Arabidopsis thaliana: one gene and its partners. The protein of the gene in region 2 interacts with the protein of the main gene of each other region in a pairwise test. Each region holds a gene or a part of one and is shown on either strand. Other genes may lie near its edges. The genes, in order: AGG2, NUDT7 and GG1.

Region 1 (8,156 bases), on a different chromosome or scaffold from region 2:
GACTGAGACATGGTTTCGCCGGCGACGGAGGAAGAGAGATCGGAGAAATCGAAATCGAAATCTCAGGACAGTTGGCTCTGAGGAGAATGAAGGCGGAGATATCGAAGTGTGAGAGTGTTGAATTTGGATTTTTTTTTTTTTTTCTGATATGATAGGACTTTGGGAGAGAGGTTATATTTGGAATATTTGTATTTGTATTTATATATATATTCTATGTTTTGGTGCCGTCGAGGCTGTATGTAAAATAAGTGTACCTACCCACCTAAGAATGATCAAATTAGATTTTGTGATTATTACTATTATTATTTTTAATAAAATATTAAATTCGACCAAGAAAAAATAAAGTTAGGATACATCAAATGTAACTTTTCCAAAATTGTTTTGAAATTAGATTATACAAGAGAGGTTTTAAGGACTTTTAGATGCAAACCATGTTTGGAGATTTGGTTCGTATCTACTATATTTCTCCTTTCAAATGATTGAGAGTTTTTTTTTTTTCCAGCTTATCTATTCACTTAGGAAGATGTGTGATAAGAATCAGAGTTTTATTGTGTGTTTTTTTTATTGCGTTCTCGCCAAATCGAATGAACCATTATTTGAAAACTGTATTAGAGGAAGAATATATGGATTCTGTTACAGTGATCAGAAGTAATAATAATGACTAGAGCTTGCCATATTGTAGAGAATCGTCACTAGAGTAGTGGTTTCGCTAGGGAGGACCAGACTGCCGACGAGTACTTACAGCTGAAAAACAAGTGCTCTCGTGTCTCGATAAGAGTGTTACATAACACACATGTTCGATTCAAGTTCACATTCCAAGCCTTCATTGAATCTAATGTAGAGAGTCGATTCCGCATTGCTAGCCATATACAAAAAGAGAACTATCAACTATGATAGGATCTAAAAAATCCAATTAGACTTTTCTAGAACTATTATATATATATATATATATATATATATATATATATATATATATATATTTTAAATCATCGTATACAATAACAAAAATAAGATTCGTTACCAAAATTAGCACAAATTTAATAATAAAATAATCAATATAAGCATTTAATTAACATTTCACACGATCGTATTATAACCATGATTTCAAATTATAATTAAATTTGTTATTTTAAATCCTCAATATAATTTACTTCTATTTAATTTTATATACTTCTGTGGGCCGAGAAAATGTAATTGTTATAATCTAAAATATATGGAAAGGCCCTAAGCCCGTTTGAGTTTTTTTTTTTCTCGTTTAAAAACATCTTTGTGGATTTCAAGTCTTCAACAATGTTCGTCTTTGGCGTCGTGGCTAATGGCGGTGACGTGTTCGGTGCCATTACGGTAGAGGCTGCAGCCGTTTGGGTAAGTAAAAGAAAACATTACTATATAGTTTTCATTTTAATATTTGTTATATTAAAAGTTATTAATAATTTAGATCATCATATTTACAGTTTTGACATTGTTTCCCGCATACTTTTCTTCTTCTTCTTCTCTCCACCCATCTGCTTTAAGGAAGGAACCTCAAAAGCTTACAAAATAGTAGAAGAAGAACTTTTTTTGATCTCCGATTCTTACCTCTGCAATCTTCAGATTCTAGCTGATTCAAGGTTTGATCACAAATTTCCCGATTTGTATATATATAATTTAGATTTGGTTAACTTTATCGAATCTGGGATCGTTGTATCCAAATCTGATCTGGGCTTCTCTGATTCAATTACTTGGGTTTGTAAAATTGATGGGTCAATTTAAAGGATGTATCTTTAGGGTTTCTCGATTTCACTCTGTTTGTAGAACAATTTGATCGTAAAAGTAATGATGTGTTTTATTTGATTAGGATCTTGTTTGTGATAGAAATTGGAGGAGATGGGAGCATTCATGTCGAGGTTTTGGTTCATGATGTTTCCTGCAAAAGAGTATAAGATTGTTGTTGTTGGTTTGGATAATGCTGGTAAAACGACGACGCTTTATAAACTTCATTTGGGTGAAGTTGTTACTACTCATCCTACTGTTGGTAGCAATGTTGAAGAGCTTGTCTACAAGAATATTCGCTTTGAGGTACTGGACTCTTTCTTTATTCATTTGGGTGAAGTTGTTTCTTAGCTTCTTATCTAGGGACGTGTTTTAGAAGTTTGAAACTTTATGGATGTTTCTTAAATTTGCCATTGCCATCTTTTGATTGTGTTATTGTCCCTAGCTATGTTTCTTGCTTGGGTGTGTGCATTTTTCTCGTTGAAAAATGGATGATGTTTTTGTCTAAGTTCTTGTCATGATTGGTTGAGAAGGTGTCAGAAACTCATAATGAACGTTTTCGTATGTGCGATTTATGGTTTTGTATAGTAAATTTTTGTAGATGTTGTTTATCTAGCTTGTTTGTTATACCGGAGGAACTGTTTGCTATTTCCCATTAGCTTAGTTTTTTTGCCAGAGGACTGTTTGGAACATCTTTATACAGTGGTCAAAGTCATGGCCTGAGATGAATTCATCTCTGTTTTATGACAATCTGCATGTGTTCTTATATGTCAAAACTCAATGATGAATATAAACGTAACTAAACTTACTAAAGTTTGAATTGTTTCCTGTCAAAAACTAACTGTTGGACACTGGCAATCGAATATTTGAGGCGATGTTTACTTTTATGATATGTTGTCTTTAGGTATGGGATCTTGGTGGGCAAGATAGGCTAAGAACTTCATGGGCAACATACTATCGTGGAACACATGCTGTGATTGTGGTTATAGATAGCACAGACAGAGCCAGAATCTCTTTCATGAAAGATGAGCTAGCCAGGTTACTTGGTCATGAGGATCTTCAAAACTCGGTCATACTAGTTTTTGCAAACAAACAGGATCTGAAAGACGCAATGACTCCTGCTGAGATCACGGATGCACTTAACCTTCACAGTATCAAGAACCATGATTGGCATATTCAAGCAAGTTGTGCGGTTACTGGAGAAGGATTGTATGATGGGCTCGGTTGGATTGCCCAAAAAGTTACCGGTAAAGCCACGAGTTAAGGGGAAACCAGAACTGAATCAGAGAGAGTACGTACTATTCTTCTTTGTTTCTTTTGTCTCCTTCATATGTTCTTTAACATTGTATCCTCTTGACTTTTATGTAACAAGCTTCAACTATTTTGGTTGCTCTCATTGAAACTGTGTCCAGAATTTTCATATATGGAAGAAAAAAATCTTGTTTTGTTTCAGATTTAAAACTACCACCAAACTCAAAATCCAAACGAACTAAAAACAAAAACAGAGCAACCATTAAAACAAGACAAGACACCATTGTAGCCTCTCTCAGAGCTCACCACAGTCTGCGATAACCACCGGCTTGGAAGGAATCCTGTTCAAAGTTCCAACCTCGTCTTCAATGCTCCTGAGCACGTCGAGTCCTTCAACAACTTGCCCGAACACGACATGTAAACCATCGAGAAACGAGAACTTTTCCAAGACAATCTGGAACTGAGATGCATTGGTGTGGGGATCACCGACGGCCACTGTGCTAGATTTTCTTGTGGTGGCGTGAATTTGGCACTGTGGTCTTCTTAAATTAAGAGACACATCAAGATCAATAGATTTTTTACTGCACAAATGAATCAATTTTTTTTTTTGCCAATTACATCAAATTCACTGCCGCGGGAACGTAAAAACACAAACTCACTCTTCTGGAAGAAGTAGAGACAAAAATATTTTGAGAGAAGGAAAGGAAGATCAAAGAATGGAGCAGCCACATCGTTTTGCTTCTTTAGGGCCTTCGAACCATTGATCCCATGTCGCATTCACCGGACCTGTTGTTCTGCAAGTAGTCACAAAAGCAAACATATCAGACCTAATCATCTCACAGTCTATTGAAATGAAACTATCAGAAAACAGAAGAAGAATTACTCGGGAAGAAGAGGATCGGGTTTGCTGTCAACACTGTCTAAGAACCTGCATCCATTCGAGAAACTAGTCAAGCTTGTGGAATGATTATTCGTGAACCGGATATCAGTTATGTAACAAGTTCTTACTCTTTGCAGGATGCTGATGCATTGTCCATCTTCTCAAGCTGCTCCAGCTCTTCCTGAATATAATAAATGAAGGAAGAAAGTTAAAACCTTGTAACGCTTTTAAGCAAGCATTTGAGTTCACAAATGTCATAACAGCTACGTAGACAAGAGCTTAAACCTCAAGGGATCAAGAGTCAAGATATTATTACACCTGAATGAAATATGCTCAAGAGCTTAAACTACATTTCAGTTTCACTCCTCACCATTCTTGAACCTTCCTAATTACTGACCCTGGTGATTTGTTTTATCAACAGAAGCATATTGTTCGCAAAGGATCTACTCTCTCACTCAAGTAACATTTAGCATCACAAAAATCTCTTTAAAAGGAGACAGTTCTACACTACATTTCTTAAAGTCAGATCGATTCCATTAATCTAAGATCCAATCTTGTTAAGCATATAAAAAGGAACTATATCAAGAGACAAGTACTATTAACTCACTAAAAGCAACCCCACAATACCAACTGCTACAACAAAACCTGTTTTTTTTTTTTCACTCATTGAATACCAACAACAACAAAAACCCCTAAATCAAATTGATTCCCAAAACTAAAAAAGTTTCAAACTTTGAAAGTCTCTACCGTACTCCACTCAGATTTATACTATTCCATCCAAAAAGAGCCGAAGCACAAAAACAACAGATTGATCCAATCTGTAATTATATGATATAATCAGCCAAAAGGCCCAAGCACGTCGAAACAAGAAAGGGTTTAAGATTAAGAGGAGAGTAAAATACCTCTAAGAATCGAGCTTCTTGTTCAAGCCTTTTGAGTTCAGCTTGAATCCTGTGTTTGCCTCTTGTATCAACGACCCGCCCGGATAGCTGACCCGACGAATTGGAGCTACCCGCTTCCATCAAAATTTCTCGAATTCAACCCTCAAAATAAAAATCGAAACTTTAACAAAAACAGATAAGAACCACAATTTTACTCAGACTAAAAGATCGCCATTTGAATATGGGAAACTCATAAACCTTCACAAAACCCCATTTGTTACTGGTTGGATACAAAAATTACAAGGATTCAGAATCAAACAGATCTTGAGAACTCCAACAAACAAAGAGAATAGAAGCAAATTTTATGAGGGGGCAAATAGAAAATTCAAAGTTATGAGTTGGGGAGACTTGAAAAAGAGCTTTTCCGATGATCGAAAGGCGAGAGAAAAAAATATATATAAAAGTTGCGATTTTGAAAAAGACGAAAGTCGACGGAAATAAGAAAAACAAAACATTATTTCAGTCTTGATGGCCATAAACATAAAACTTTCTTCTTGAAACCTCAATAACTCATGTTTATTTTTTTAAAAAGTTAACCAATCATAAAATAGACCATATAATATATATATATAATTATAAAAATAAAAAAATCTATAATTTGCATAAAATTTTGAAAACATTCGAAACAAAAATTTCTCCAAAACACTTATATTGTGAAACTAAGGGAATGTTATTTTCATACTAATCATCTTGCACATTTTTCTTTCTTTATATATTCCCCATAATATTTTATTTCTCGTCATGATCGATCATTCCATGGATCCACATTAATTATCTTTAATCCAATATGTTTTATTATTTCTAGTTTTAACTTCAAAGCTTTTTTTTTTTTTTCTCAGCACATATAAGAATTGATTTTTATTTCCTAATTAATGATGATCCCCATTAGGCCATTATGCACCAAGATCTTCTAAAGAGATACATATCGGACAGAAGAATAGTCAGAAGTACAAATGGTCTGGTTTAAAATATTTGCTACTCAGAAGGTGAGGCAGATTTGACTGAAGAAGATGTTTATGAAGATAACGACCTAAGAAGAAGAGGATGTGGAAGACTTCCAAGATGTCAAAGAGTAAGAAGTTGAATATATATCCCAAAATGGTGGATGGTAATCTTTTAGTTTGAGCATGAACAACTTGCTCTTGTCTTTGATGTTTCCAAGGACTGATAATGCACCTGACCCTCTCACTAAAAAGACTCTGCTACTGAAATTCTGCTAGATAGATATATCGACAATGCCATCTAGTCGAGTCGCTGGTTCGGTTTTAAAAACTTTGTAGAGACTAGGCCAGATAACAGAAGCTATCTCTAAATTATATTATCGAAAACCTGAGGTTCCACCATCTTTAAATTTTAAAAATCTGATTAATATCATGTCCTTTAGCATGAAGCCATGTAATATATATATTTTTTTTTTTGATAAGAATGTAAATATCATATAAAATGAAAGTTTAGGAGTTACAAGAAGCAAAACCTACAAACATGGTCCCATGCCAAAAAAAGGAAAAAAACATGGAAGCATAATCCTTTCGAGATTCATCGCATCAACTAAACCTTAAGCGATGAGGCTCTTAGTAAGAAGATGAAGAAAACTCGATCTAAAGACTCCCCTAAGCAAGAAAGTGGCAACAAAAAAGAGCGGTCTAAACTATTGATCGACAAAAAAGCGCACAGGAAGTCCTTTCAACAATGGCCCGAAACAAACTGAGACGGAGCTATACGGGCAAAAATCGGCTGGCAATGCTTTCTCACTCTACCAAGCTCCTGATGAAGCCATGTAATATTTAGTAAAGTATCAGTCTAAAACATAGCAGTAATAAATCGAAGTACGAGCCAAGAAACATAAATCTTACTGTTGATGACATTCAAGTGACATACTTAATGTCCAAGAACTTTGGGTTTTAAGTGCGCGAAGTTTCGATATGTTTCGAACATATTGACGCTTTTCTAACTTGCTTTGCTGTTTCCTTTGGAATCCTGCAGGTTTCTTGATTTGCACTAAACTCGGAACATAAGAGCACACAAGTGGGCAACGTCTTTTATTAACCGGTTCTCCGAGATCAACTTGTCCACCATATCCAGCCTCTCCCATGATGTGAACTGTGTCGCCGCGATCCAAAGTTTTATCAAAAATCATAGCAACTTTCTTCTCCTCGTCGATGAAAAAACTACCATATGTCAGTGAACTCGGAATCTCATCACCCAAATCAACATTCACTGTCAAGAACTTGCTCCACAATACCTCATTGGCCTCAATCTTAATCGTAATCCAAACCTCAACAACATCCTCGTGACAAACTAAAGCCGCAAGCTTCTCCTCTCTAACACAAGCTAGAGTAACAACACCATCCAAATCACTAAACGGCAAAAGCAGAAGCGGACCAAACCTCTCACTTGTGAAATCAAAACAGATTATATGATCAGCATTGAGAAAAAGGTCAGAGTTCCTTTTTTTAGCACACCAGTAAGTGTTTCCCTTGAGAGTAACACCACGGTTACCACAATTTATCAACCAATGTGGAGTAGTAACATCAAGAGTCGTCCATAAATCAGACTCAAAATCATAGATTTCATACCACAAAACAACGTTGTCTCGAGGGTAATGGAATTCATAATCTATAAACCTCAAGATCTTGTGGTTGCGTCTCTTGTTGTCGTATCCAATAGCGTACCTGTACATGTCACATCCCTGGGGTATTTCGAAAGAACATCTGGGTTTGATCCACCTTGTTTGTCCCCAATACGGGTTCCAAACAACAAGACTAAAGTTATCATCTTTCAAGATACATAACAACAAACCCTCACAGTGAAAAACTTGAGATATCTTGACTTGTTCTGAATCTGAATCGTCGTTTAGACAAATACGTTTACCTTTAATCTCTACAGAAGTATCACTGCCGAAGAAGAAGCTCACTAAATGAAGATTGTGATCCATCAACACGACCATCTGAGACTCTCCTTCTCTTGCTGCTGCTGCTTTACTAATAAAGCTCCGATTTTTGAATAAAGAGTCCCACTTTTTGCAAGTCGATCTCACTGCTCTCGTAGACTTCAATGGAAGTCTTGAGAGTATCTCTTCTAAGGGCATCTCCAACCACAACACTAAAATTGTGTTAGAATAACACTATATTTGGTGTGATTTTCACACTAAATTCTTTTTCATCTCCAACCACAACACCAAAAGTCACACTAAAAATACTATTCTCTATTATTATATTATTAACCTAAAATATGAATACTTTAAAAATACTTAATAATATTGAAACAAATGTTAGACAACAAATTATTACATTAAACAAATTTAATACAAAATAAAGAAACACAACATATTA
Region 2 (8,647 bases):
TACCGTAGACGGAGGCTTAACGGTGTTCTGTCCCTCCGACAGCGCTGTCGGTAAGTTCATGCCGAAATTCAAATCCCTTTCTCCGGCGAACAAGACTGCGTTAGTGCTTTACCACGGCATGCCGGTTTACCAGTCGTTACAAATGCTTAGATCAGGTAACGGCGCCGTTAACACGTTAGCGACGGAAGGTAACAACAAGTTTGATTTCACCGTTCAAAATGACGGAGAAGACGTGACGCTGGAGACGGACGTTGTGACGGCGAAGGTAATGGGGACGTTAAAGGATCAAGAGCCATTGATAGTTTACAAGATCGATAAAGTGTTGTTGCCTAGAGAAATCTACAAGGCCGTTAAGACGTCCGCTCCAGCTCCTAAGTCGAGTAAGAAAAAGCCTAAGAACGCGGAGGCTGACGCCGACGGACCTAGCGCCGATGCTCCGTCAGATGATGATGTTGAGGTGGCTGACGATAAAAACGGCGCCGTATCAGCGATGATTACTCGAACAAGTAATGTCGTAACGGCCATTGTCGGGCTCTGTTTCGGAGTTTGGCTTATGTGAAGTGACGTGGCATTTACCTCGCTTTGGGAATCTTGTTTTCCTTTTTCTTTGTGATCTGTCGGTTTAATTTATTTTACATATTCTTTTTTTTGTTCACGTTGATACTTGGTGTGGAGATTTGGAATAATTAATTGTTCCACTTGTGTTGGATCTGATATGTTTTATTCTAAAAAAATGTGATGATCATTCAAAAGAGTGATTGGTACGTTGGAATCACGTGTATCTATAAAGATAGTGTCGGTGGTAGTCGAAATAGTGTGAGGCTGTGAGCTGTAAGATGCATGTTACATCCTTTGTGGTCGCTTGGATTTGACCCATGATGATGCTCCATCGTAACTACACTAATATGAAATATAGTATACTTTCAATTACAGAGGAAATCAGAATAGGGACAAAGATTATAATACGAGATAAAATGAGTGTTAGTTCAAACTTCCGATTATAATGTCGTAATATCTTTTAACCATATGTGTTGCATTGCACATAGTAATAAGGGCTTTAAGAGGGATTAAATGTTTTTCTATCTCTAGGTTGGGCATCTCCAACAAAAATTGTATTATCAGCTCCTACCTAATGTGGTGATATTCTTATTAGATATACTAGATCTTTCTTGTTCCATCAATCCATAATTAATAGTGTTTTGGACATGTAAGTTTAGTTAATCTCTAATCCGGTTTACAAATTGCGGTTTAGGTGTAATTAAAAAAAACAATCATGATTTAACTTATTAAATAAAAATCGGATGTATTTAAGAAATTTAGTGTGAGATAAAAATTGATTTTGTTAGTACCTACTTGTAAGAAATGTAATTATTTTATAACAAATGTAATTATTTTGAAGGATACTAAAATAGACATTTTATTGCTTTAAGTAATGTGCAAAACTTCAAAACATTTAATGCCACAACTATTGAACGAAGCTTTATTCACCCTTCTATTCACCTCCTTTTGCATTAACCAATAAAAACATGTCATGTCAAATCTTACTTAAATTACATAATAAATTAAAGCTATAATTATAAATCTAAACCGATATATAATCTCGTTTAATTACAAAATCTAAACCCTAATTCTCCTTTGTAAACCCAAACCTTCATTTAAACTCATTTAATCGTAAGAAAAAACTAAACCCTAATCGTATTTTCAAAACCCAAACCGACATTTAACCTCGTTTAATTGTAAAATCTAAATCTGTTTATAAACCTAAACCAATATTTAATTGGTTAATTGTAAAATCTAAACCCTAATCGTACTTTCTAAACCCAAACCGATATTTAACCTCGTTTAATCATAAAATCTAAACCCTAACCTTTTCTAATAAATCCAAACCGATACATAATTTCGTTTTAGTGGCAAATTAGATTTTATAATAAAATTAAATTCTTTTTATTATTGTTAAATGTCAGATTTTAATTGATTAAAATAGAAGAGGTGAATATAAGGGGGTGAAGGGTGAACCCAAGTATTTTTAGCAACTATTCCATTTTAAATTTTGATGTTTCCATGTTACAATAAATTTTCTATTTCTGGAAAAATAAATACACTATAATTTTAATATGGGGCCTATAAAGTTTTTTTGGGGCTAAAGCCCATATATGCCTTATCTTTTTCACGTTAGGCACACAGTACAAACGAGTCGCAAAAATTGGTGTACATATACAAAGTAATGTGAACCTTTTTAATGGCATTAACACTTTCTTGGATTCACACCATTTACCAGTGTAGTAAATGGTCAAGAGACGATACAGCTGAGAACTTAAAACCGGTTACGAGAAGATATTTTGGAAGAATAAACCAAGTGTATGGTAACACTCTTAAGCCTCATATCTTTAAAAAGCACGTAAGCGTTGGGAGAATCAAACCATCACTGGAAATAGACTAGAAGTCGATGGCAAGTTTTACAGTGGCTCATAGAGATGGTATAAACTTAAATATTTAGACGCAATTTTGTAGAATCGGAATAATATAGAAGAAAGTTTCCTGTTTTGTACACACTGGACACACACATGCCGAGATCAAACAGAATCAGATGAGAATGTTTTCAGAGAGAAGCAGAGGCTTGGTCACGCGATACTTTAAGGCGCTTGGCATGATCCGCATTGCAGTAGATAAAGCTCTCTTTACCAGATGATGTGGTAGTTGGCACAATGGCGAATCCCAAGTATTCTTCCTCACACTTCTTTTGGCAAATGTTAGCCATGAACTTGAACATCTCGTTCTTCTTGTTCCATGGTTGGTCTACATACTCTTGGATCGGCATCCACTGTAATACAATATACCAGTTTCGGTTAAATTTGAAATATATGTCAGTAACTTTTAACATTTTCTTGGCTCATCAACACTGAAAGTTAGAAAGGTTTACCTTAGCTTGCAAGATCTCAGATTTTTGTTCAGTAATATCGTAAGAGCGCGGACTTAAGACACACAGGAAAAACATATCTGTTTTCTTTTTTAAGATGGCTTTGTGGCTTTGCCTGAGAGTGTAAAGAGTTGAACAATGAGGAACAAATGCGTTTAAGCCAGATCAATGTGTCTACAGCAATAAAATTTAAGTTACCTGAAAGCCAGTACTTCGACAAAATCTGCAATAATCTGAAGAGAAAAGCCAAGAGAAGAACACAAATTTTAGATTAGAATGTCAAGTAAGAGATCCTTATGATTGAAATGCTTAATTTTTGAAAGCCAGATACTTACTCCAGTTTCTTCTTCCACTTCCCTAGCTACTCCAGTCCATATATCCTCGCCCTGTGGCATTGGAATGTTTTAGTTAGAAGCAAAAGACAACAACAATCAAAACTTCATATCCACCATTCTCTTAGTTTCATTCTTGGTATCATTACAGATTATCAGTAAACACTTGATGGATCTGTAAGATGTAAGAACTACTTTCTTATGCAATTCACCAACAACTCTCAGCACTACCAACTCCTAGAATATACTCCCCTAAACAATACGCTGACACCCTTCATAAGCCAAACCCTTACTAGTAGTTCACTCGTTTTCATTCACAGGACAATAAGGTATAGGATCCTAGGAGCTTCGTTCATCAAGATTGCCTCTTTTTAGCATTTAACTCTTCATGTCATTCACCGTGATTGTAAATATTTAACGGGATAGTAAAAGATCACAAAAACAATCTTATGTAAAAATCACCTCGTTGATAACACCAGTAGGCAGCTTCCACACATTTTTATCTTTGAAAAACCCACTCCTCTCCTGGACAACGAGGACCTGCTCATTGAATTATCATTATTTGTTAAGCAACGTATGCGAAACTATGCAAAGAAGAGAACAGTTGGCTACCTCTTTAGTATTTTTGTTGATGACCAAAGCACCAGCACCTACAACATGAGAAGCATTGGCTGGGATTGTATCAGGAGTTTCAGAGATCCAAGATACAAGCATCAAGTACTCAGGCTCCGCGTGGTGATATCTAAATCCTTCCTGAAAAAATCACCAAACACAAGAAGATATTCAACTAATCATCACAATAACTAACGTCAATCCAAATCCTCATATAAAACTTACACTAACTGCAGCCTCCACAAGATTAGCCAATCCAAGAGGCAGCTTTATCCAAATTCCCTTCTTCCCCTGCAAATCATAAACTCTGACTAAGTCCTCATGTTATCACAATCCTCTAAACTCTTAAGAGCTCATATCATATCTCAGAAGTTTATCAGTTATCAGTACAATCAAACAATAAGGCTTGAATCTGAGTTATATATATTGTTAATACCTCTTCTCTCCAATGCGAAAGAGAAGCCCTAAGACTTTCAGTAAAAACCTCAGAATCCATAGGTTCCACCATGGTTACAGTAACACCATCGTAATTATCAGTCTCACCTTCAAGTAAAGGAATCTGCTGAGCTCTAGTACCCATCTCAATCAATCTTCTTATCACAAAAATCAGCTACACGAGAGAGAACAAAAAAAAGTACACTTTTTTAACAAACCCATCTTCAGAAATCTCAAACAAGAGAGAATGAAGGAGAAAACTGTACCTGTGTGTACCTTGGAGAGAATTGAATTGAAGTTATCCTTCGATCTCAAGAAGACTTTATACAGAGAAGGTGAGAGAGAGAAACTGTAACGAAGACTTCATACAATTTCCGGGAAAAACCAAAAACCAAAAATAAAAAAACAAACCTAATTTAAAAAGAATGTTTCCGTGCCCTTTGTTTATTGGACTCATCTCGTTGGCCTCGGAAGTCAGAACAAAATGGAAACATCGTGGAACCACTTAAGAACTTTCAGAAGAAGCAGCAGATCAATGAGTTCTGATATATAGGAATTCCGCACAATATATTCCAATTTTTATTTTATTTTATAAATGAAAAATTATAAATTGTAGTCGTTTATTCTTTGTGTTAGTCTATTTGTTTCATTACGCCTAACGGCAGCAGCAAACTCTACCGCATATTGTTGAAGTAAAATGATGTCAACAATTTTTAACCGCAGCTACTTGCGTTTGCCTTAACGTTTGACCACATCGTCTTGCGTCCACCAAACGAATATCATCATGGTTGCTGCTGTCGCAAATAGATGCGGCGATCAAACGAACAACCTAATTATACTTTTAAATAGTTATATAAATATTCGGGATTTGTTGTTAATTTTGAAAATAATTTTTCTAGCTAATTCTTTCTTATATTCTTTCCTTGCATAAAATTGAAAAAGTTAAAATATTGAAATGTCCCGGTTGGTAAATTGTGAACTAACTAACCTCGAGAAATATGGGCTCTTTCAACTAATACCATAACTTTCGTTTTAATTAAGTAGATGATTCGATAAGTCGTCGTTTCGTCTTTGACTAGAGAGAAACAAACACAAGAGCGAGCAAGCGAGCGAGAGAGACAGAGATAATGGTGGTGGAAGAGAACCAGAATCAGATGATGGCTTCCATCGCCGGCGACTCAACGGTGACGGCAAATATATCGGAAGAAGACGAAGCAGAGGAGGAAACCACCACCAACACATGGAAAACCACAAAGGAATTACTGATTCTACATCTCTCCAAGAAGCTTCTCCATGGAGATCTCGATTTCCGAATTGAAGCCGCTAAGGAAATCCGAAAGCTGCTTAGAAAGTCTCCGGTTAAGTCTTCCGCTAGGTCAAAACTCGCCGACGCCGGCGTTATCCCGCCGCTTGTTCCCATGCTCTTCTCCTCTAACGTTGATGCTCGTCACGCCTCTCTCCTCGCTCTCCTTAACCTCGCCGTTAGAAATGAACGGTAATCTCTCTTGGATTGTTCTAGGTTTTATTGCCATGTACCAGAAACTGATTCTCTCGTCTTGTCTTCTAGGTCTAATTTAACTCGATCTGAGGCTTTAGGCAGTGTTTAGGATTAGTGACTTCACTAATCTCTGCTCAGAGCTTGATTTATGACATTGTTCTGGATTTGTAGTTTTAGTGTTAAGGCAATTGTTTAACTCTATCAATCAGGCATCAGAATGTACTGAGAGTAGCTACATTTTGGACTTTAGATCTGTTGAAACCAAGAGGATACTGCTTTTTGGACACTGATCTGATTGCTCTAGGTCTAGCTTTACCTGTAGTTTACTGCTATTTGGATAAAGATAGCAAATGTAGGATGTAATTTACCTACTTGCTCCAGCAGTATTTTCTACAGATCCTTTGTAATCTGTGTGGAAATAGATTTGCATTTTCAGTTCTTGTGGTGGTCATTACTTATTTTGGGTTGTGATTTCTGACCAGGAATAAGATTGAGATTGTGAAAGCCGGTGCCGTTCCACCTCTCATACAGATTCTGAAGCTCCACAATGCTAGTTTGCGTGAATTGGCCACTGCAGCAATTCTAACACTTTCAGCTGCACCAGCCAACAAGGCGATGATTATAAGTTCTGGAGTTCCACCGCTTCTGATTCAGATGCTTAGCTCCGGAACTGTACAAGGGAAAGTAGATGCTGTCACAGCCCTTCATAATTTATCAGCTTGCAAAGAGTACTCTGCTCCAATTCTTGATGCTAAAGCTGTCTACCCGCTCATCCACCTCCTTAAAGAATGCAAAAAACATTCCAAGTTTGCTGAAAAAGCCACAGCCTTGGTTGAGATGATCCTGTCTCACTCTGAGGACGGGCGAAATGCCATCACCAGCTGTGAAGATGGTATTCTGACTTTAGTAGAGACTGTAGAGGATGGTTCTCCACTCAGCATAGAACACGCAGTTGGAGCTCTGCTTTCTCTATGCCGCAGCGACCGAGATAAGTACCGAAAACTCATACTGAAAGAAGGTGCAATCCCGGGTCTCCTAAGTTCAACAGTAGATGGAACATCAAAGTCCCGAGATAGAGCCAGAGTTCTCTTGGACCTACTGAGAGAAACCCCTCGTGAGAAAGAAATGACTCCATTAACACTAGAGAAAATTGTCTATGGCATTGCAGTACAAGTCGACGGGGCAGAAAAAGCTGCTGAAACGGCTAAGAAACTGCTGCAGGACATGGTTCATAGAAGCATGGAGCTGAGCATGAAAAGCATCCAGCACAAGGCTGCGTCTTGTGCATCTATTCCTGATATCTCTTCCAAATCGAATAGCTAACGATCGTAGTGGTAATATTATTGATATCGTAGAAGCAAGAAGGTTGCATTACGAGATTTGTAGTGTTTCAGGTTCTGATCTGGAAAAATTCAAGAATTAGAGCCGGGTTTAGGTCTAGTCTTACCTCTCCGGAGTTGGAAGAAAAACCATTTGCTAAGTTTTGAAGGCTGAATTTTTCTTTCCCTTTTGTACATACTTTTGGTTATGGGTCATGTGTATATCAGAACCCTTCCTCATGCTTTTTACGCTGTCTCGTCACATTGATTCGGCATTTTCGTTTTGAAGTTTGGTATTCTTGGTCTTTGTCTGTTAAACAGTTTAAATGAAATACAGTAAAAATGACGGCCTTGAGCTCTATTAAAAGACCACCGGACAAAAATGGATTTCTTATTTCACCGAGTGCATAAAAATGGTTTCTAACTACAGCAACTATTGGAAAAATGTACAAACTCACAAACTGACGTCGTTTTAGCCCACACTGACCTCAGATTATAAACTAAAGTAACGTCCTTTTGCTATAGTCGATGTCTCGATGACGACGCAAGTAGAGTCGCTCCACCTCCACATGTACACGTGTAGGCAAAAAAATACACACACACATTACAAGAAATGTTCCAAGCTCTTCGATTCCTCCGCTTGACATGGCCATAACTATTCTTGACACTGTCTCTAATCTCTGAGAATGACATTCATCGAATCTTGAAGACAAAGATGTCAGGAAGATCTGCATTTTCCAGAACCGGAGGTTTCCGACCTGAGAATCTAGGGCAAAACGCAGTATCCTTAATCGGAAGCATAGGCTTCTCTGTACTCGTAATCGGAGTCGTAGTTTTCACCATTATCGCTGCTACATATGAACCAGAAGATCCACTATTTCACCCATCTGACAAAATCACAACTTTCCTCACATCCAATTCAAACGCTACTCTTAAATCCGACGACAGTATTGTCAAAACCGGTGAAGATTTCATGGCGGCGAACCAAACCGCGTTTGGCGGATTCATCAATATAGCTGATGTTGAAACATCTGAGAATGACTCTGATGGTAATCAATTGGATTGTGATACCAATATCCCAATTGATTGCAAAGATCCTGAAGTTTTTCACTTGATGATGAAAGCTACTATGGAGAAGTTTAAAGACAGTCACTTTTATAAGTTTGGTAAACCTGTGATTGTGGAAGGTAGTAGTAGTTCTTGTGATATGGCTTGGCGTTATAGACCTAAGGATGGTAAAGCGGCTGCGTTTTATAAGGATTATAGGAGGTTTGTGATTGAAAAGTCTGGGAATTGTAGTGTTAGTGTGATGGGGATTGGTGAGTATCATTCGGGTGTGAATGCGAGGAAGCGGAAGAGGCCCGGGTTTCGAAATTCGAGTGGTGGTAAGGTTGATGATTTCGCATTGCCTGTAGTTGGTGAAGCAGTGAATGATTCACTTCCTGTTGTTGAGTCTGAAAATGTGTTTAAAGAAGGTCATTACTTGGTTTATTCTGGTGGAGGAGATAGGTGTAAGAGTATGAACCATTTCTTG
Region 3 (7,823 bases), on a different chromosome or scaffold from region 2:
CTGGCGTATGGTCTCGCCGATGAGATCTTTGAATATGAGGCGTTCGACGTCAAGAACTGCTTCTGACATCTCCACCTGAAAATCTCGCCATCGGTCCTCCGACAAATCTCTTCCGAGGACCCCGCACACGTATCCCACAAGGTCATCTTCCTCCGTGGACGACTTTTTGTCTCTTATCTTCTGAAATTCAGACCAGATCACTTGCATCTTATTATCAGCCTCTCCTACCATCATCCACGGGGGCAAGCTCCTTCTCCGCGCCACAATCTCTTGCACTGCGTCGAAGATGAGGCGTCTTTCCTGAGCTGCGGCTCTGGAGGCGCATTTTCCTTTGAGGTATTGCTGCTTTTCCAGAAAGGAGAAGCTGTCGGACTCTTGTGGAAGGCAATCTGAGGCTCGGAGGATGTCCGAGATGTATACATATTCAGAGTCGGACGATGATAATATTGAGCCACCCCAGGATTCGTCTTCTTCAGCATCAGCAAAGTCAAGGGTGCGTTTCAGGACGGGGGACGGAGAAGAGTCCTCGTGGTAAATTGAGGCGTCAAGAACAGAGACGGGGCTCGGTTGTGAGTCTCCGGCCTCAGCAGCGGCCATTTCAGCAATGCTGTGGAGCAGCTTGTCGCATCTCTCCAATAAGGTTTTGCCTTGTCTGTTATACACATCCACTTTCCACATCTGCTTACAGAATTTGTATTTCATTAGCTGCCTTTTTGATAGATAAAATGTCGAGTAATGAATGAGGTACCTCTTCCTCGGCTAGAGTGCTACTCTGGTCTTCAATCCTCGTCTGGAGAGGTTCTGGTCTCCGCCAAGGGAGTGAAGAGACTCTCCTCTGTTCCTTGAGCGTTGGTCTTGGTCTCCTCCTATTGACGCTCGGGGAAATGCGATCCCGCCTCACTGGTTTGATCGGAGAATGATGGTCGAAGACGAGATTCCTGCTCTGATGTTTGAGTGAAGACGAGTGCAAGAGTCCTTTGAGCCTAAGAGCTTCGAGAAGCTGCTTGAGGGTTTCCAGATCGGTCGGGGGAGCGTCAAATCCACTCATTTTGGAAACTCTCGGGAAGAAATCACCGGAATCAAAGAAACTCTTTCGGCGTACTACTGAGGTTGGGTGGGCTCGGGCGTTCCTAATTGGAGCCGGATCTTGAGCTGCTCCCTTGTCATCGTGAAAGTCAAATATGTAGTCTCTGGTGACCCTGGACTCGGATGCAGATCTCTGGAGAGGCTGTTGGGGAAATGGCTCCAATCCCATGAGCCGTGCGATCACACTGGGTGAGCCGCGCTGGTTCTCAGCCTCAACCGCATCGGCTCGGATCTGTCTGTGTTTGAGGCAGCCCTTGGCATCCACGACGGCTCTGCTATCGAGGGAGAGCCTCGGAGCTTCTTTAGAGAACCTCCAAGGCCTAGAGGAAGAAGAAGAAGAAGAAGAAGATCTTTGTTGAGCCGGCGCAGGAGAGCGTAGCTCAGGGGTAGAGTACACACTCTGCTGATTCGTCCTACCCGAGGCAGATTCAGATTCAGCGCTCTGGAGAAACACAGACATTGTTGTTTTGTTGGTAAGTCAATTCATTGCATCCCTCTAGGAACAGGAGAAGAGGGAAAGAGAGATAGACAAGTTACCGGAGAGGAAGAGAGACGCTTATTAGGAGAGAGGAGACTGGGGCGATCGAAGATGTTGAAGAAGCCGGCCATGCAACCGCCGATTTGCTTCTCCAGATCTTTCTCTTTTGCCATTTTCTTCTGTTGGCTGTTGCTGCTGCACACTCTTCTCCCGCTTCTCTGCTTCTTTAAAGCACCCACTCCCTTACTCTAGTCTAAAGGATACTCCTCCTAACGTGCTTTTTTTTTCTTTTTTAAATACACTCTGACAACTCTGCATTCAATTTCCTTTTTTTTATTTATTTGTGTTTTTTCCTATCTGCTTGTTTTAGGAGTAATTTTGATTTTTGAGTTAATAATGGCTAAGTTTGAGTCCTAATAAATAAGTAAAGATCAAACCCCGCATATTTATTATCTTTACTTACCCAGCCCGTACTACTTACTTCTTCTTCTAGTCAATACATTATTTACTTACTCTAGTTCAGAGTTTACGATTCAATTCTGAATTCTTGTTTCAAGAGGAAAGAAAAATGCCACGTGGAAAAAATATGGAACGGAAGATGAGGAGATATGGACCCCGCTGTTGACCGACATCGACGTGGCAGTTTCAAAGTTGGGAATGCCATCATAAAGTAATGACCACCGTTGATACGCTCTCTTTCTATCTATTCCCAAGGCAGCTCTCTCCCTCTTCTCTCTTCTCTCTCTGCCTCTGCTTTCCGTTACGGTTGCACTTATCGGCCAGTTCAAGATTCTAATTAAGTTATTGCGTTTTGCATTGTTTATTTCATTCGTTTCCCATATGAAAACGTGAATGTGAAGAAGATACGTTACCACATTCTACTAGTGTTTTAGGGACATGGGACTTTCGTTTTTATGAGTTTCATAAAAACGGACCACTTCACTTACTCGAGATTTACAACTTTAACGGCTAACTTACTTATCCTAGTCATTCTCTTTATTTAATCACCCAACCAATGTATTGTATTCTATTGCCACGAAAAAAAAAAGCAAGGCGGGAACAGAGAAAAAGGGTTTGGCATTATGTGAGCATGTGAGTGAGGCTATAATGCATGTTTCAATGTTCAGGTTTCATCACGAGGTGAATTGTTTGAATCCCCAATATTTCTGTACTCTCTCTGACCAGATATGCTGCAGATGTTGTAACGTGCTTCTTCCGGCTGCTCAATCATTTTTCTTTTGGACCAACTCACATCTCTGTGTTAATTTCTCTTCTGTTTATATAACAAATTCATACTACAAACTTTGATCAATTTTTTTTTATTTATGGGAGAAGAAGGAGCTCTAATGAGGTCATCAACTTTGATCTTGACCAATGAGGCAATGAAAACAGATGACATACTACTGTATATCCAAAGGTTGTCAGAAAACCCACCTTACCAGTATTTGTTTACTCATCACAAATTTGAGGAATATTTTGGAATGCATAAACTATCTTTTTAGCTGTCGAATAAACTTACCGTAAATCACTTCTACTAATACCCTCTACATTTCTCAATTTTTTTTTTAAACCTCATAACTTGTTTTAATTTTTGAGACATAGAAAGAAAAAAACAAAAGGGGGTTCTACTTTAACAGACTGTAATAATACAGAAGTGGAGGAGAAGAGTAATAAGTAATAATAAAAAGACAACAGATGAGGCATGTGCTCTGTGTTCCATTATCGTTCTATCTATATAATAAACATAGGTATGTATGTATTCTGATCCTCGAAACTAGCGTGTGTGTATCATGGAGGGTGGATGTGGCCAAAAGTTATCTAAAAAGAAAAAAGAGAGACACACTTAACGGTCTTCAAGATTGTACCCACTTCCTCATTAGCTATTACTCTATTAGCCCCCAAATATCACTATGCACATTTCAGCTTCTTTCAACAAGATCTAGAATAAGAAGATGAGAAGCTGTAAGCCTGAAACTCCATTACTCGTATGTCAGATCCGGATCCCATACATTACATATACATATAATACTGTTTACGTAGGTGCAACTAAGCCGTTCTATGCAATTCCAATGCTCATTAATCTGTACGCTTTTTCTCTGCTACAGCCCCATTTTGGATCCCATGTAAAATGATATCCTAGCAAGAAACTAGTATATGTAACACATTACTCTGTCTAGCGAATCAAAGTATTAAGCATCTGCAGCCTTCTCCTCCATTTGGTCCTTCAAACCACCGGTCCCATCCTAAGTTCAAAGGTCCATTGGTTCTGCCAGCACCACAACATCCATCAGTTATTCAGTCCAAACCAACACTAGAGTTTCAAGGTTTAAAAAGCACTCACAGTGGCAACAGAGGATCGGGTCCTTTCTCGATGACAGATAGCAGCCTGCGAACCAAGGGAATATCAATTTGATCACCAATCAACGTACAAGTTTCAGTCAAATCCAGATAATATACCTACAGGAGCTAGCACACAGTTGCTTGCAAGCGTTAAAAAAAAACATAGGTTGAGTATCCCATACTTACTCCTCACACACGGTTGATACAATATCTGTGTTCTCGACCTCCTTCAACTCTTTCTGGATATAGTACATGAAACAGAAAGAGAGAGTAAAGCTATTTTTAGTAAGTGTTAGAGCTCACTAGTAGGAACAATAGGCAAACACATTATCTGTGCAACAGAGAAACTTGGGAGAAGGTTAACTTTTAACATGCCTCGATAGATGATAACCAAGAGAGAATGATACTAATTGGACTATGATCAAAAGTATTCTTGCACATCCCTAAGAATAAGATCAACAGAGAACCATTCCAATAGTGGATCCAAAGAGAACCCAGCAGATTTAGATTTTGGGAATACAATTCATAGAGTCATAAACAAGACTGACTGAAATGGTGCCACTTATTGTCAAGAGAACTACCATGCTCTTCTGATTGGAACAGATCTGCCATACTGGTTTTTGCTTTCACAGGAAACAATCTTAGCGACCTTTACCTAATTGTTGTAACAATTGATCTAAAAAGGATAATTGAGCTATCCACGAGAGACCTACGTCGGAATTTGAAAGAGATACGAGTTAGTTTAGCTACCTCCAAGAAAGCGACTTCCTGTTCAACGCGGGCAAGCTCTGCAAGGATCCTGTGCTTGCCCCCGCCGTGAGAAACAGACTCCTCCTGCTCGTAAACCACAGTTTCCTCTCGCATCCTCTCGCTAGCAGGTCGCAGATCTGACAACGTCAGAGAGAGTCTGGTCTTAGTCCGTACAAGTTTGAATTGTCGTCGAAGTCTCTCTCTCTCTGACTCAAATCGACTTTTCCCTTCCATTTGCAGAAAAATGCCAAAACGCCCAATACTATTATTTGGGCCAATTCTTGCAAATGAGCCCATGGGCTCAACAAAGGGATATGTGTTGTCGCAACAAACAACGTGACCGTACATAAACATGTGGTTGGAGTCAGTACTGACTCTGTTAGAGTTAGAGGGTTTAGTCACACTCTCATTCTCGTTTGTGTTTTTGATTGGCGGAGAATTGGTGATAGATAAGCTTCTTCTTCCCTCTTCTCAACTTGGTGGATCTGTCATCGATGGCCTCTTTGATGCTCAACGGGGCCATTACCTTCCCCAAAGGTTTAGGTTCCCCTGGTTCCAATTTGCATGCCAGATCGATTCCTCGGCCGACCTTACTCTCAGTTACCCGAACCTCCACACCTAGACTCTCGGTGGCTACTAGATGCAGCAGCAGCAGCGTGTCGTCTTCCCGGCCATCGGCGCAACCTAGGTTCATTCAGCACAAGAAGGAGGCTTACTGGTTCTACAGGTTCTTATCCATCGTATACGACCATGTCATCAATCCTGGGCATTGGACCGAGGATATGAGAGACGACGCTCTTGAGCCAGCGGATCTCAGCCATCCGGACATGCGAGTGGTCGATGTCGGCGGCGGAACTGGTTTCACTACTCTGGGCATAGTCAAGACAGTGAAGGCCAAGAATGTGACCATTCTGGACCAGTCGCCACATCAGCTGGCCAAAGCAAAGCAAAAGGAGCCGTTGAAAGAATGCAAGATCGTCGAGGGAGATGCTGAGGATCTTCCTTTTCCAACCGATTATGCTGACAGATACGTTTCTGCTGGAAGGTATCCTTTTCTTCTTCTTCTTCTTCTTCTTCTTCTTCTTCTTATAATCGTCTTCTTTCCGGTGGGTTTGATTGTGTGTCTCATCATCACACAGCATTGAGTACTGGCCGGACCCGCAGAGGGGAATAAGGGAAGCGTACAGGGTTCTCAAGATCGGTGGCAAAGCGTGTCTCATCGGCCCTGTCTACCCAACCTTCTGGCTCTCTCGCTTCTTTTCTGATGTCTGGATGCTCTTCCCCAAGGAGGAAGAGTACATTGAGTGGTTCAAGAATGCCGGTTTCAAGGACGTTCAGCTCAAGAGGATTGGCCCCAAGTGGTACCGTGGTGTTCGCAGGCACGGCCTTATCATGGGATGTTCTGTCACTGGTGTTAAACCTGCCTCCGGTGACTCTCCTCTCCAGGTCTTTTACCTCCCACTTCACCTTTTTTACTTTCTTCTCTCTTTGATACACTAAACTTATCACTCAAATGCTGCAGCTTGGTCCAAAGGAAGAGGACGTAGAGAAGCCTGTCAACAACCCCTTCTCCTTCTTGGGACGCTTCCTCCTGGGAACTCTAGCAGCTGCCTGGTTTGTGTTAATCCCTATCTACATGTGGATCAAGGATCAGATCGTTCCCAAAGACCAACCCATCTGATCCTTCTCTTCTAGGACATGATCATTGTATCATTGTAAACCCCTCTTGTGGTAAAGAAAGATTCGAGTCCTATCTATGAACATGCGGAATATCATTAACCTTCTTTCTTTACATGTATTACTAGATTTTCATGTTGAGATATCTATGCTACTTGTTCGATAAATTTTCTACAAACTTCGATTCCCAAACTCAATTCTGCCAACATATATCAGTCTCAATTTGATCAATGTTCCACGATCTGTAATAATGCAACTAAGGTAGAGTATTATATATCCGACCAACATAAAAAATATCATTACCTATTATTGCTTGCACTAAAACACGGAAATTAAAACAAAAACTCGCAAGTCAGCAGAGAAACCAATGGATGAGAGTGACCATCAATCCGCATAGCTAACCAGACCTCTCTTTCCTGGTGGAGAAGGTGAGTGAGAAGGGCTGAGTGATTCTGCAGGAGAGGTGCGTCCTCCTCTGATGGGGGATCTCTGTGGCCCGAGACGGGATTTCAGGTCTTGGCTAATTGGCTGCCTCTTTCTAGGGCTCTGGCTACGGCTACGATGCCTCGGACTCTGGCTCCTGCTTCCGTCTCTCAATCGTCTACGGTACCCATCTGGACTCCGAGAAGTGCTCCTTCTCCTCCGGTTGTACCTATGCAAGACAACACTCAATTTCAGAGGACATCCAACATTGCTATAAAGTTGCTCTTTTCAACTTTCAGCATTCAATTAGAATGTTTTGCTTAACCAAAATAATATCACAAAAAGGGTCGTTCTAGGATATAAATCTAATGCAAGTGGCTCTAGGTGCTGGTTTACAAGCTATATCGTCCCAAGCCAAAGCCAGAATCTGTACAGAGATAAGAAAGCGAACCTTGGAGGGCTCCTTCTTCTGGGTGGGCTTCTAAAGCGTCCCCTCGGTGAGCGCTCAGAGTAACTTCTGTTGCTCGGATACCTACATAATTAAACAAAATGAGGCTTTAGTACTATCCGCAGAGCTATCGTCCTTTGTTGTATGTATGTATAGATTAAGTTACCTATCCCTGTTCCTATCCTGAAAGTTTCTTCTGTCAGGCCAATGTCTAGGAGGAGAACGCTCAGGAGAAGGAGTATGGTACTTCCGAGCAAAGGAATAGCGTTCGGTGAACCCACGCCCCTTTCGGATGCGCTTGGGCACACCACTTGGAGATGGGCTTCTGAAAGATTTCCCCACAGTTTCCTCTGTTGGCTTCTCACGAGGACTTCTGCTTCCATTTCCAAGATCTCTCACAGGGCTCCTACTAGGACTTCTGTTTCCATTTCCAAGAACTCTCACAGGGCTCCTACTAGGACTTTTGCTCCTGCTGTTTTGGTTTCTCCTACGAATTGGGCTCCTGCTCCTGTATAGCAATAGAAAATGGCAAAGTTTGTCAGTGACCACAAAATCAGACCACCAAATTGCAGAAGCAAAGCTGAAATACATAAAGCCAGGGAGATAAACCTTGATTTCACT

What was found.
Region 1: the proteins of NUDT7 (region 2) and AGG2 interact in a protein complementation assay, tested with the Arabidopsis thaliana proteins (one study listed by BioGRID).
Region 3: the proteins of NUDT7 (region 2) and GG1 interact in a protein complementation assay, tested with the Arabidopsis thaliana proteins (one study listed by BioGRID).

What each region holds. Positions count from the first base shown.
Region 1 is NC_003074.8:8,131,224-8,139,379, reverse strand, and holds AGG2 (G-protein gamma subunit 2), read right to left. Parts: upstream 5,304-8,156; 5' UTR 4,906-5,303; coding exon 4,786-4,905; intron 4,065-4,785; coding exon 4,012-4,064; intron 3,932-4,011; coding exon 3,887-3,931; intron 3,798-3,886; coding exon 3,713-3,797; 3' UTR 3,176-3,712; downstream 1-3,175. Other genes in the region: PKP-ALPHA (Pyruvate kinase family protein), read right to left, coding at 1-11; ARFC1 (ADP-ribosylation factor C1), read left to right, coding at 1,867-2,058, 2,657-3,016; AT3G22940 (F-box associated ubiquitination effector family protein), read right to left, coding at 6,674-7,912. UniProt on the Arabidopsis thaliana protein: Guanine nucleotide-binding proteins (G proteins) are involved as a modulator or transducer in various transmembrane signaling systems.
Region 2 is NC_003075.7:7,483,510-7,492,156, reverse strand, and holds NUDT7 (MutT/nudix family protein), read right to left. Parts: upstream 4,857-8,647; 5' UTR 4,563-4,856; intron 4,472-4,562; 5' UTR 4,442-4,471; coding exon 4,298-4,441; intron 4,240-4,297; exon of another isoform or gene 4,153-4,239; coding exon 4,087-4,152; intron 4,003-4,086; coding exon 3,862-4,002; intron 3,790-3,861; coding exon 3,712-3,789; intron 3,487-3,711; coding exon 3,367-3,486; intron 3,304-3,366; coding exon 3,253-3,303; intron 3,151-3,252; coding exon 3,116-3,150; intron 3,033-3,115; coding exon 2,921-3,032; coding exon of another isoform or gene 2,894-2,920; exon of another isoform or gene 2,822-2,893; coding exon 2,600-2,821; 3' UTR 2,502-2,599; downstream 1-2,501. Other genes in the region: FLA2 (FASCICLIN-like arabinogalactan 2), read left to right, coding at 1-559; AT4G12710 (ARM repeat superfamily protein), read left to right, coding at 5,424-5,791, 6,277-7,117; AT4G12700 (calcium ion-binding protein), read left to right, coding at 7,829-8,647. UniProt on the Arabidopsis thaliana protein: Mediates the hydrolysis of some nucleoside diphosphate derivatives. Can use both NADH and ADP-ribose as substrates, but not 8-oxo-dGTP, cyclic ADP-ribose, GDP-mannose, UDP-glucose, ATP, or GTP. Exerts negative control of EDS1 signaling.
Region 3 is NC_003074.8:23,414,328-23,422,150, reverse strand, and holds GG1 (Ggamma-subunit 1), read right to left. Parts: upstream 4,903-7,823; 5' UTR 4,889-4,902; coding exon 4,655-4,888; intron 4,144-4,654; coding exon 4,091-4,143; intron 3,951-4,090; coding exon 3,906-3,950; intron 3,831-3,905; coding exon 3,746-3,830; 3' UTR 3,170-3,745; downstream 1-3,169. Other genes in the region: TRM5 (zinc finger CCCH domain protein), read right to left, coding at 1-678, 749-1,528, 1,624-1,737; APG1 (S-adenosyl-L-methionine-dependent methyltransferases superfamily protein), read left to right, coding at 5,149-5,699, 5,794-6,100, 6,177-6,335; AT3G63400 (Cyclophilin-like peptidyl-prolyl cis-trans isomerase family protein), read right to left, coding at 6,716-6,983, 7,206-7,286, 7,369-7,710, 7,812-7,823. UniProt on the Arabidopsis thaliana protein: Guanine nucleotide-binding proteins (G proteins) are involved as a modulator or transducer in various transmembrane signaling systems.